Linked DNA regions of Sus scrofa. The protein of the gene in region 3 purifies or fractionates together with the protein of the main gene of each other region. This does not show direct contact. Links are inferred from orthologs where the notes say so. Each region holds a gene or a part of one and is shown on either strand. Other genes may lie near its edges.

Evidence for each region. The genes of interacting proteins can lie anywhere in the genome.
Region 1: the proteins of TMUB1 (region 3) and RNF185 purify together in Homo sapiens (affinity purification with mass spectrometry; 5 studies listed by BioGRID and IntAct, with this or other methods). This does not show direct contact. The link is inferred for Sus scrofa from reciprocal best matches to the Homo sapiens genes TMUB1 and RNF185.
Region 2: the proteins of TMUB1 (region 3) and RNF170 purify together in Homo sapiens (affinity purification with mass spectrometry; 3 studies listed by BioGRID and IntAct, with this or other methods). This does not show direct contact. The link is inferred for Sus scrofa from reciprocal best matches to the Homo sapiens genes TMUB1 and RNF170.

What each region holds. Positions count from the first base shown.
Region 1 is NC_010456.5:47,973,884-47,977,383, forward strand, and holds part of RNF185 (E3 ubiquitin-protein ligase RNF185), read left to right. Parts: intron 1-1,096; coding exon 1,097-1,214; intron 1,215-3,487; coding exon 3,488-3,500. UniProt on the Homo sapiens protein: E3 ubiquitin-protein ligase that regulates selective mitochondrial autophagy by mediating 'Lys-63'-linked polyubiquitination of BNIP1.
Region 2 is NC_010459.5:11,783,421-11,786,920, forward strand, and holds part of RNF170 (E3 ubiquitin-protein ligase RNF170), read right to left. Parts: intron 2,474-3,500; coding exon 2,363-2,473; intron 1-2,362. UniProt on the Homo sapiens protein: E3 ubiquitin-protein ligase that plays an essential role in stimulus-induced inositol 1,4,5-trisphosphate receptor type 1 (ITPR1) ubiquitination and degradation via the endoplasmic reticulum-associated degradation (ERAD) pathway.
Region 3 is NC_010460.4:6,141,048-6,145,250, forward strand, and holds TMUB1 (transmembrane and ubiquitin-like domain-containing protein 1), read left to right. Parts: upstream 1-1,403; 5' UTR 1,404-1,442; intron 1,443-2,372; 5' UTR 2,373-2,402; coding exon 2,403-2,791; intron 2,792-3,048; coding exon 3,049-3,400; 3' UTR 3,401-3,848; downstream 3,849-4,203. UniProt on the Homo sapiens protein: Involved in sterol-regulated ubiquitination and degradation of HMG-CoA reductase HMGCR. Involved in positive regulation of AMPA-selective glutamate receptor GRIA2 recycling to the cell surface.

The DNA.
Region 1 (3,500 bases), on a different chromosome or scaffold from region 3:
TAATTTGTTCTAAAAATCTACCCAGAGATGTGAGGGAGGAGAGGAATTTTTTAAAGATGTGCAATTTTTAAGAATGTGGGTTTTCAGACTGTATTGACTAGTTTTAGATCTAAACTCTGCTCCTTCCTAGATTTGTGATCTTGGTCAAGTTATTTCCCCTCTCCAAGCCTCAGTTTGGTCATCTGTAAATGTGGGTGATGCTGATGTGAGAATTAAATGTGATTTGAGTGTCCTAGTGCTTTACACAATGCCCAACACAGTTGGCACTTAAAAAATAGGAGTTGACCTATTTACAATATTATAATTTCTACCAAATCTTTTCATGTGAAAGATGATGCAGTGTAGAACATGTTATAGAGGGAAAAAGCTGAGGATGATCCCAAACTGCTGACAGTGGTTATTGGCAGGAGGGGTTGTAAAGTGGGAGGTGAACAAGGAGACCTCTGTAATATATGAATTTCTCAAAAGCATATCTTTTGCAATCAGAAAAAATATATTGAATTTTTAAATTTTCTGTAATATTAAAGGAAAAATTTGAGGGAAAATACTTATCCATACTTTGCCACATATCTGCATATTGTCATATACTTGCAACCATGGCGTCGGAACAGTTTTGTGAGATAACTTGGTCACAGGGGTTTTTCTGTGTTGCTGCATAATTAGCGTAATGTTCTTTGAGAGGATGTACCAAGATTTTGATCATGACCTCCATTGTTGGCTAATCAGGGTTCCACTTTTTTGCTGTTACAGACATTGTGTAGCTTGTCCTGAAGTTCCCTTGTAATTGGGCATAGAACTTATTGCCAATTTGGCTGTTTTAAAGCACATAGAAAATTTTAACTGGCTGTTGTGGGAGTCTGGGAAAGCCAGAGCCCTGAGATCCCTTACTTATCAGCAGAGTTTTACATTGGGCTAGAGCCAGTCCCTCCCCTTGATGGCTAGAAGTGCAGAGGGCCACCAGGGTTCCTCTACCTTGGGATCTAGATGGGAGGAAAAGAGGGTAGGGAGGAGAAGCATGTGCCACACGTAAAGTGACACATTTGACAGATGCAGGAGAAATGTGTTTATTGTTCTGAACTTCATTTATTCATTTCAGGGATTTCAAGGGTTTGGATTTGGAGATGGTGGCTTCCAGATGTCTTTTGGAATTGGGGCATTTCCCTTTGGGATATTTGCCACAGCATTTAACATAAACGATGGGCGACCTCCTCCAGGTAGGACCCTATTCTCTTCGTCATTTTTCTTGAAGGATCCTTGGAATTTGGCAGTATGTAGGTTACTACATGGATAATCGGCCTTTGCAAAATGTGCTAAAATCTTTTCCGATTACTAGTAGACATAGTAATGATGTTGCAACCTTACCAAGGATAAGGCATGTTCAGAGTGCTTTCCATTATAAGCGTGGGATCCTTACCATAAGCCTGTGGGACTTTAGCTCCATTTTATAAACAAAAAATGCTCAGTAATTTTTCCCAAGACATAAAATGAAAAAGCATAGGAGTTCCCTTTGTGACTCAGTGGAAACAAATCTGACTAGGATCCAAGAGGATGCAGGTTCAATCTGTGACCTCGCTCAGTGGATTAAGGATCTCATGTTGCCATGAGCTGTGCTATAGGTCGCAGATGCGGCTCGGATCTGGCATTGCTGTGGCTGTGGTGTAGGCCAGCGGCTACAACTCCGATTTGACCCCTAGGCTGGGAACTGCCATATGCCATGGGTGCGGCCCTAAAAAAAAAAACCGTAAACTGTGTGCCCTGAGTAAAAGCCTAGTCCTAGGCACGAACCCCCCACTTTGACCATGAGGGCTTGGAGGAAGAGGCATCCACAGGGAGTCAAGGTCTCTATTCTCTGGCATCTCCAGCCAGCTTCCCTCAGGACACATGTGGGCCTGGTCCTAAGCCCCAGCTCTTTGGGAACTCTGCCTTGGTCTGCCATCCACTGCTACCTTTCTCCCTCCAGCCAGTGTGAGACTGTCAGTGGCATTTGGTATAGAGCAGGGTGGCGAGGTGGGGGCCCTGGGCTCAGTCATGATCTGAGGCCCGGGCCCAGATTCTGACCCTGGAGCCTTTAGAGATGCTGAGGTTGGTTGAGCTCTGCTTGCACTCACCGGGGCCTCATGTGGGCTGAGCACAGTTGAGGTACAGAGGGACCAGTGCATGGCTCCTGGCCAGGGGTTTATGCTCTGGGGACAGTAACCTCTCCTGAGCGATCCCATTTGTCCCCTGTCCCCACCATGGTGCCTGACACACAGCATTCAGTCGATAAGTCTTTGTTGACTGCTGGCTGCCTGACTCCATCAGAGATCTAAGAGGGGAACAGTAAAACACCAAGAGGTCATGGGACTGCCCTTCCTTACTTCAGAGGTTTCCCTTTGTTCACATAGGGTTTGCTCAGAGGGAAGAGACCCCACAGGGCAGGGTGTGTTCTGCTCTAAAGGAGGGACAGGGCCCCATGGAAGCAGCAGGAATCTGCCTGGTAGCTTGTTTCCATCCAACCTAGCCTAGGGCTCACCCTGGTTTCCCCATGTAAACAGAATTCCGCAGCCAGGCTGGACTCTGGATCAGTTTACCCCCTGCTACAGCTAAAGACAGTTTTCTGTTGTCATGTTTGGACAGTTTGCCCATCTGGGATATAGATTCTTTTAACTCTTTCCCATGGTCAGGACAAGGAGTTCATATTAGCTTTTCTCAAAGCAGAAAGAAGTGGAAATCCAAGTTCTTAGCCCACCTCTGCCCCTAGTTTGTTATGCAAGAGGGAGACAGGTCGTTTTGCCTGTCTGGGGCCTAGTTTTCGCCTCTGGAAAGGGAAGGTGCCCCACTCAGGGCTCCCTGAGACCCCACCTGGCCCAACAATGCCAGAATCTAGAGACTCCATGACTTAGGAGGCAGCATGCTGAGAGGCTAAGAGCACAGCTCTGTGGCATCCCCACTAACTCATGGACCTCCAGGTCTCTGGCAGGTCCCCACATACCTGTGCTTCAGTAAGGACTTACATATACAAAATGGATAATAATACCAAGCAATAATGTATATATACAAAACAGCACATAAAAGATGCCCAACAAACAGTAGCTTTTCTTTTTCCAAGACTTTCCAGTTCTATTTGCACCTGCAGGCCAAACCCTCTTAGAATAAATGGGAGACTTTGTCCTCATTATTGTATGATTCCATATGTTTTCATAATTCTGGTTTTGTTTTGTCTAAGATTATTTGGAGTTTGGAAATATTTTTTTGTTTTGGCCATGCCCATGGTATATGGAACTTCCCGGGCCAGGGATTGACCCCATTCCATAGCAGAGACCCAACCTACTTCAGTGACAACCCCTGATCCTTAACCCACTGTGCCACAAAGGAACTCCTGGAAATCATTTTAGTGAGCAGGATTGTTGTAAAGTGATGAAGGCTGACACTCTCGACCTCTGACTCTGGAGGGCAGTGTGCACAGCTGTAGCATTCTCACAACCTCTTCTCCCTCCTGTCCCTCCAGCTGTCCCTGGAAC
Region 2 (3,500 bases), on a different chromosome or scaffold from region 3:
ATGATCGAGGCCAGGGATCGAACCCGAGTGCTACTCGAGTTCGTTACTGTTGAGTCATAATGGGAACTCCTATTTTTTTTTTTTTTGCCTTTTTTCTAGGGCCGCTCTCATGGCACATGGAGATTCCCAGGCTAGGGGTCCAATCGGAGCTGTAGCCGCTGACCTACACCACAGCCACAGCAATGCGGGATCCAAGCCGCGTCTGCAACCTACACCACAGCTCATGGCAACGCCAGATCCTCAACCACTGAGCAAGGCCAGGGATCGAACCCGAAACCCCACAGTTAGTTGGATTCGTTAAGCACTGCACCACGACAGGAATTCCAATGGGAACTCCTTAAAATGATTTTTTTTTTAAGTTCAGTGGTAGTTCTTGACTTTGAATCACTGATTTTCAGAGAAACATCCTAAGAAACCAGTAGTGGACATGTAAGAAAATTGCTGGATGAGAAAGAGAAGAGGCTCCAAACAGCTAGGGAGGACAACAGTGACTGGGTCACACTTCTCTTGTTGTTTAAACTTCTAAAAAGATCTGCACATTGCCATCCACAACAGGTGAGCCTGTATGCCTTGAAATGTCCATGACATCACAGGATGATGGACAGTGTGTACCAAGGAGCACAGGCAGTCACAACTGTTTAATACAGAAGCATTTTAACAGCATCTATTCTTGGCTGGGAGTCGTGGTATCCATCCTATCTTAAGGATGATAACCATTAATTCCACAGATGTTAAGGGCCCATTATATCCCAGGCACTGAGACTATAGTAATGACTAACCAGGGTCCCTGCCCTCATGAAGCTTGCCTCCTGAGAGAAAGGTAGTGAACAAGGCTGAGGGCAATGACAGAGACCATCCTGGTTGATCAGGGCAGCCTCTCCAAGAAAGGTCTACATAGGAACGCCCTGCAGGATGAGAAAGCCAGGAGAGGAGCAGAGGGACATGCAATCCAAGCAGAGCAAAAGGCACGCATGAGGCATGAAGGTGGGAGGCGTGGAGCATGTCCTGGGGAGGGGGAGGGGGACCGGACCGTCTTTGTAAGCTGCAGCCAAGAGTTCAGACGCTATTCCAAAAACTGGAAGCTTTAAAATACAAAAATATCATGGCCTTACTTGTGTTTTCAAAATATTACTCAGGCTGCTGTGCAGAGAAAAAAAACTCCAAGCGAAGAGGCCATTGCAAGTTGGCTAAGCAAGAGATGGTGGTGGCTGGGACTAGTTTGATGGCTATAGACACAGGACATTCTTATGAGATAAAAATGTCAGGATCCCCCCAAAAGAGAAAAGACATGATCTCTGACTTCTTCAGAGATCAGAGGAGGACATCAAAACTGAGCTGAGTGGTAAGTTCCCATCGTGGCTCAGTGGTAACAAACCCAACTAGCATCCACGTGAGGAAGCAGGTTCGATCCCTGGCCTCACTCAATGGGTTAGGGATCCAGCGTTGTTGTGAGCTGTGATGTAGGCTGCATACGAGGCTTGGATCCCTTATTGCTATGGCTGTGGTATAGGCTGGCAGTTGCAGCTTCAACTAGACCCCCAGCCTGGGAACCTCCATATGCCATGGGTGCAGTCCTAAAAAGCAAAAAAACAAAAAAAACAAAAAACAAAGAAAACCCACTAAGCTGAGTGACTGGGAACAGGGCCAGGTTGTCTGTGTTAAGCCTGAGATGCCAGGAGCATCCTGGCAAGATGGAGGCTGAGCAGGGGAACATGGGAGGCCAGAGCTTGGAGGACAGCTTAGGCTCCCCATGTGAATTTGCACTTAGTATGCTCCGGGTCTCGAAATAAATGTTCAGTCAGACACACACTTCTATAATTCTTTGTTAAATTTTGAGAAACCTGGGATGAATCAGTATAATGTGACAGAATTTTAATCTATCAAATGCCTTTTGGGGGAAGAGGAGCAATTGTAGAATTGATATATTCTTTAAAGTGGAATGCTTTTGAATAGCTGACATAGAAAACCCCCCAAACTTAGGGTTACTAAAGGGAACATTTCAAACTGGGGGCCAGGGTAAGTAAAATAAGAATAAAACACAACGGTAAAACTCCAGAAGTTCTCAGCTGTAAGTTTCTCACATGACAAACCCTATTTCAAGAATTTTACATTTCCTTCCAATTTTTTTCTATTGCTGGCATCACTTCATAAAGTTTTATAATGCCCTTTTTTCCCCTTAAGATAGAAAATTGTAGTCCTTGGGAAAGCTATAACTCAGTAAGGACAACAATGATGAAGGTACAAACTTTATGCAAGACATACAGATTTTTCAGAATCAAAGAACATCTGTCGGTAAAACCTCAGTATACAAAGGAGAAGTATCATTACATTTTAACTGTGCACCTGCTGTATCATTACTTACAGATCTGGGCTGCCCTGAGAATCTCCGATTATAATCATTAACATCCTGATGCAGTGATATTGCGTCCTGAGACTGGTCATTTTCACCAAATACTGTTAGGAGTAAAGTTACCTGCATATTACAGGGGAAAAAAAAAAAAAGAAATTGTTACACTTTTCTGTACCAGTGATTTTTTTCACTTTATTACTATTCAGTAGAATGAGAAAAGCTTCCAAATTGGTATTTTGCTCATTTCTTTTGACACAGGCACCACAGGGGAGGAAAGTAAGTTATCATTGCCTTACAAGAAAACCCAATTCAAAATATAATGTGAACTCCTGTAACGTAAAACGGGCACCTTATTTAAATATTTTCCAATCCATGACAGGGATAAAGTCAGTAGTTTTCTCTTTGGGCTAACAGATATTTAAAGATATAACAATGATGAGAAAATATTCAGGAGCAAAATGACAGAGAAATATATACCTATAACTTTGAGAGAGAAAAATTAGGGATTTCTTTTTTTTTTTTTTTTCTTTTTTTTCTTTTTTGGCCACACTCACTGCACTTGGAAGTTCCGGGGCCAGGGACTGAATCCGAGCCATAGGTTGCAGCTGAGGCAACACCAGATCATTTAACTCATCGCACTGGGCTGGGGATCAAATCTGAGCCTCTGGAGAGACCTGAGCCACTTTTTTTTTTTTTTTTTTTTTGTCTTTTTCGAGGGCCGCACCCATGGCATATGGAGGTTCCCAGGCTAGGGGTCCTATCAGATCTGTAGTTGCCGGCCTAGGCTAGAGTCACAGCAACGTGGGATCAGAGCCACGTCTGTGACCTACACCATAGCTCAAGGCAACTTCGGATCCTTAACCCACTGTGCAAGGCCAGGGATCGAACTCAAAACCTCATGGTTCCTAGTCAGATTCGTTAACCACTGAGCCACGACAGAAATTCCTGCAGTCAGATTCTCAACCCACTGCGCCATTGGTGGGAACTGCTAGGGATTTCATTTTTGATTAAAATCATGATTCCTTATCCTTGCTGGTACTTGAATGATCTTTGAATGCAACCAACCATTAATACAGAGATGATGTTATTGCAGGAACCAGCTCTCAAGCACCCATTTCTATCACAATCAAAAAGGTAATACTTGATACTG
Region 3 (4,203 bases):
CAGGCTGAGGCTCGACATCCCCTACATAGCAACACTCTAAGATCTGGGTGGAAGGAGTGTTCTAATACTAAGTGAACAAATATCCACCGTGTGACAGCTCCTCTGCATAATTTTCACACTTATTTAATAAAACACCTAATTTTTCTTGCAATTGCCTTTAAAAAAATTTTTTTTGTATTTTTTATTCTTTTAGGGCCATACCTGAGGCGTATGGAGGTTCCCAGGCTAGGGATCAAATCGGAGCTGCAGCTGCTGGCCTACGCCACAGCCACAGCCACGCCAGATCAGAGCCGAGTCTGTGACCTACACCACAGCTCATGGAAACGATGGATGCTTAACCCACTGAGTGAGGCCAGGGATCAAACCTGCATCTTGATGGATACTAGCCAGATTCTTTTTTTTGTCTTTTTGCCCTTTCTAGGGCCACTCCTGTGGCATATGGAGGTTCCCAGGCTAGGGGTCGATTAGTCAGATTCTTAACCCGCTGAGCTACAACAGGAACTCCACAATTGCCTTTTGAGGTATGTGTTGGGAACAGAGAAATTTAGGTTCAAAGACATTCAGTAAAGCACCCAAGGTCACATAGTTGATAAGCACAGGATAAGGGATCAGCATTTGTGCCACGTTCCAAAGTCTATGCCTCTTGCACAGTCTTTCGGGGGAAAGGGGAGGAGGGGACCTGGTAAATAAGCAGCCCAAGCCACCGTGGCCAGCCTGGTGGGGAAGCCCATGGATACTGGGCGCTGGGCTGAAGAGTCAATTTGGAGGATCCAGGATGACTTCTGGGGTCCACTCTGACTTAAAGTTCTTGTTGTGGCTCAGCGGATTAAAAACCCGACACAGTGTGAGGATGTGGCATGGATCCCTGGCCTCACTCAGAGGGTTAAGGATCCAGCGTTGTGAGCTGTGGTGTAGGTCGCAGATGCAGCTCGTATCTGGTGTTGCTAAGGCTGTGGTGCAGCCCGGCAGGTGCAGCTCCTATTCGACCCCTAGCCTGGGAACACCCATGTGCCGCAGGTGCGGCTGTAAAAAGAAAGAAGAGTAGGCCAAGGTAGGATCCACTCGAGCTTCCCCGATGCTGCTTCTGGAAACAGTGGTGCTCTAACAAGCTCCAGCTAACGCTGGTTTCTGGAGTAACAGATGCCCCAACTGCCCCGGGCAGGGGGCTGTCCCTGCTGTCGCCCAAACCTCTACGGGAGAGCACACCCCCCAAACCCAACCCCGCCGTCCCCTCAGCAATTTGCGGGCACTGGGACGAGACAGCCGAGTCCTGCCCGTGGATCCGCAGCGCGGAAGGCGGGGACTGCGCACCGCGCTGGACTACAAGTCCCACAATACTTCGCACGGCGGGGAAGCGGAGGGTGCCTCCAGGTGTCTGCGACCTCGCCACCTCCCGCCCGGAAGTGCCCGAGGGTCCGCTATGGAGCTGGCGGAGCCGGGCGGTGAGTCCTGCGTTCTGACCGCGCCCACCCCGCCGCCCCCGCCAGCTGGCCCCCGCTCGCCCCGCCCCGGGATCGGTCTGGCACTCCCGCCGCTGGGGTTGGGGGGCGGGCGGGAAGATGGGAGGGGTGATGGAGGATGGGGGTGGGGAGGCTAAAGTCTCGGATTCCGGCGGTATCTGGGGTCCTGCTGCGGGCTAGGTTTGGAGAGGCGTCTAAGAGGAGGCGCGGAACTGGGCCGACTCGGGGTGGAGTTTGAGTGGACCGAGGGGGGCCGAGTTGCGGTGGGGAGCAGCGACCCTCGGAGATTCCAGTTTGCCAAAGGGCTCGTTTCGACGTGGGGAAGCTTTAGGAAACTGTATCGTGTTACGGGTGGGAGGTTTGGGTAAATAGTAAAGGGGCGGGGGTGTGCTGTGTGTGTGTGTGTGTGTGTGTGTGTGTGTGTGTGTGTGTGTGTGTGTTCGTGGAGGAAAGCCTTTTGTGTGTCTGTGTGTGTCTGGAGACCTTTTTCTTCCCCCTTGGAGAAACTTTAGTGATGGAGGAATAGATAAACTTTGGGATGAATTAGATGGAAAGAATAGGTAAGCTTTGGGGTGAAGTTTGATGGGGGTTGAATTTAGGGGAGAGGTTGCTTAGAAGGTCAAGGCCTGACCTCTGAGTAGGATGTGGGTGAATTGGAGAGCTGGTTAAAGACCTAGAACTTAGGTTACAAAAAATTAGGACTTGGGGTTTGGTGATGGGAAGGGGCATGTGACCCAAGTCTGGGGCAAGCAAGAGGGAGAGCAGTCTGTGTCCCAGGGTGGGGTGTGGCTAAGTGGGCAAAGGAATTGGGACTGTGGGAGAGTTGTAGTGGGGTGGGGTCGGACGCCCCTGAAGTTCAGAGGGCTCTTGGAGGCTGAGCCAGCCCCTCATGGGTTCTTTGTGCCTCTCCAGCTCGGTAGCCCAGCGGGCAAGGCAGGTGCCATGGCCCTGATTGAAGGGGTGGGTGATGAGGTGACCATCCTTTTCGCGGTGCTTGCCTGCCTTCTGGTGCTGGCTCTCGCCTGGGTCTCAACACACACTGCCGAGGGCGTGGATCCACTGTCCCAGCCATCAGGGACCCCACCATCAACACAGCCCAGCGAAGCCATGGCGGTCACTGACAGCATCAGAGGGGAGGCCCCAGGAGCTGAGACCCCGAGCCTGAGACACAGAGGTCAGGCTGCACAGCCAGAGTCTGGCATGGGGCTCCCGGCCACACCGCCACCCCAGGACTCCCCCCAAGAGCCCCTCGTGCTACGGCTGAAATTCCTCAACGATTCAGAGCAGGTGGCCAGGGCCTGGCCCCACGACACCATTGGCTCCCTGAAAAGGTAAGCTGGGAAGAGGACGGGGTTGAAGTGGTAATGAGTCGGGTGGGAATGGTCACAGCGTGGAAGGGCCACCAGAGATGCTGATGGGAACTGAGGTCCCCAAGCCACTCACACGGTATTGTTCCTCTGAAGCAGGAGAGGCCCCTGCGGAGGGAGCCCTGGGTGGTAGGTGGAGGAGAGAAGTGAGAGAGTTGTTCTGGGCGAGGGGCCAGGATTGCCTGAGACCTGCTCTATTACCCAGGTCCCTCTCTCCTCAGGACCCAGTTTCCCGGACGGGAGCAGCACGTGCGACTCATCTACCAAGGGCAGCTGCTAGGAGACGACACCCAGACCCTGGGCAGCCTTCACCTCCCTCCCAACTGCGTTCTCCACTGCCACGTGTCCACCCGGGTGGGTCCCCCACACCCACCCTGCCCACCGGGGTCAGAGCCAGGCCCCTCCGGGCTGGAGGTAGGCAGCCTCCTGCTGCCCCTGCTCCTGCTGCTGCTGCTGCTGCTCTGGTACTGCCAGATCCAGTACCGGCCCTTCTTTCCCCTGACAGCCACCCTGGGTCTGGCCGGCTTCACCCTACTCCTCAGTCTCCTGGCCTTTGCCATGTACCGCCCGTAGTGCCTCCACGGGCTCTTGGCAGTGTCGCTGGCCCCTCCGGACCTTGCTCCCCACGACACGGTGGGAGCTGCTGTCTGCCCCGGCCGGCCTCTCCCACTTGCCTCTTCCCACTACCCTGGAGCCCAGCCCTGCGCCGCAGAGCGCTCCGGGGGCCGGCGGAGGCCCCTCCCTGTGACCTTCATGGCTCTGGGCCACCTTCTGGGGCTGCTGGCCCTCAGCCCCCACGGACAGTCAGCTCCTCCGGGTCAGACAGCTGCTGTCGCTGCCTCGGCCCTGGGCAGAGCCCGGCCACGCCCCTAGGCCCTTCTTAGTGTTCTGCCTGAAAACCCAGCCACCTCTAGTCCCTGAGAGCATCTTGAGCTGATTTAGGGACCCAAGGACGGGAGCGTGGGTGGGAAGGAGGGGGTTCTCTGGAACATGTGCAGATTAAATAACTGTGAAGTTTTCACTCTTGGTGTGTGCCTGCCTGTGTGGGCCCGTGGGGCAGGGAGCTCCTGCCCACTGGGAGAAAGACGGTAGAACGCGGGATCCGCAGCCGGACGGTCCTAGGTTCCGTGCTGGGCGCTCCCACTTACCAGGCACTTCGCCCTGCCCAACCTGCCCAGGCTGGCTGCCGACTTCCCCTCTGCTTTTCGCTGCATCCTCGGCTCCTCGCCCTTGGGCTCCGCCCCGCTCCTAGTCCCGCCCCCGCCCCGGAGCCGCGCGCGCAGCTTCCCAGAAGCAGGGGGCGGGGCGCGCGGCACCCTGGCGCGCGGGGCCTGACGGGAGCCACGTCTCCGCTGGCGGAGGACCGTGCCGCGATT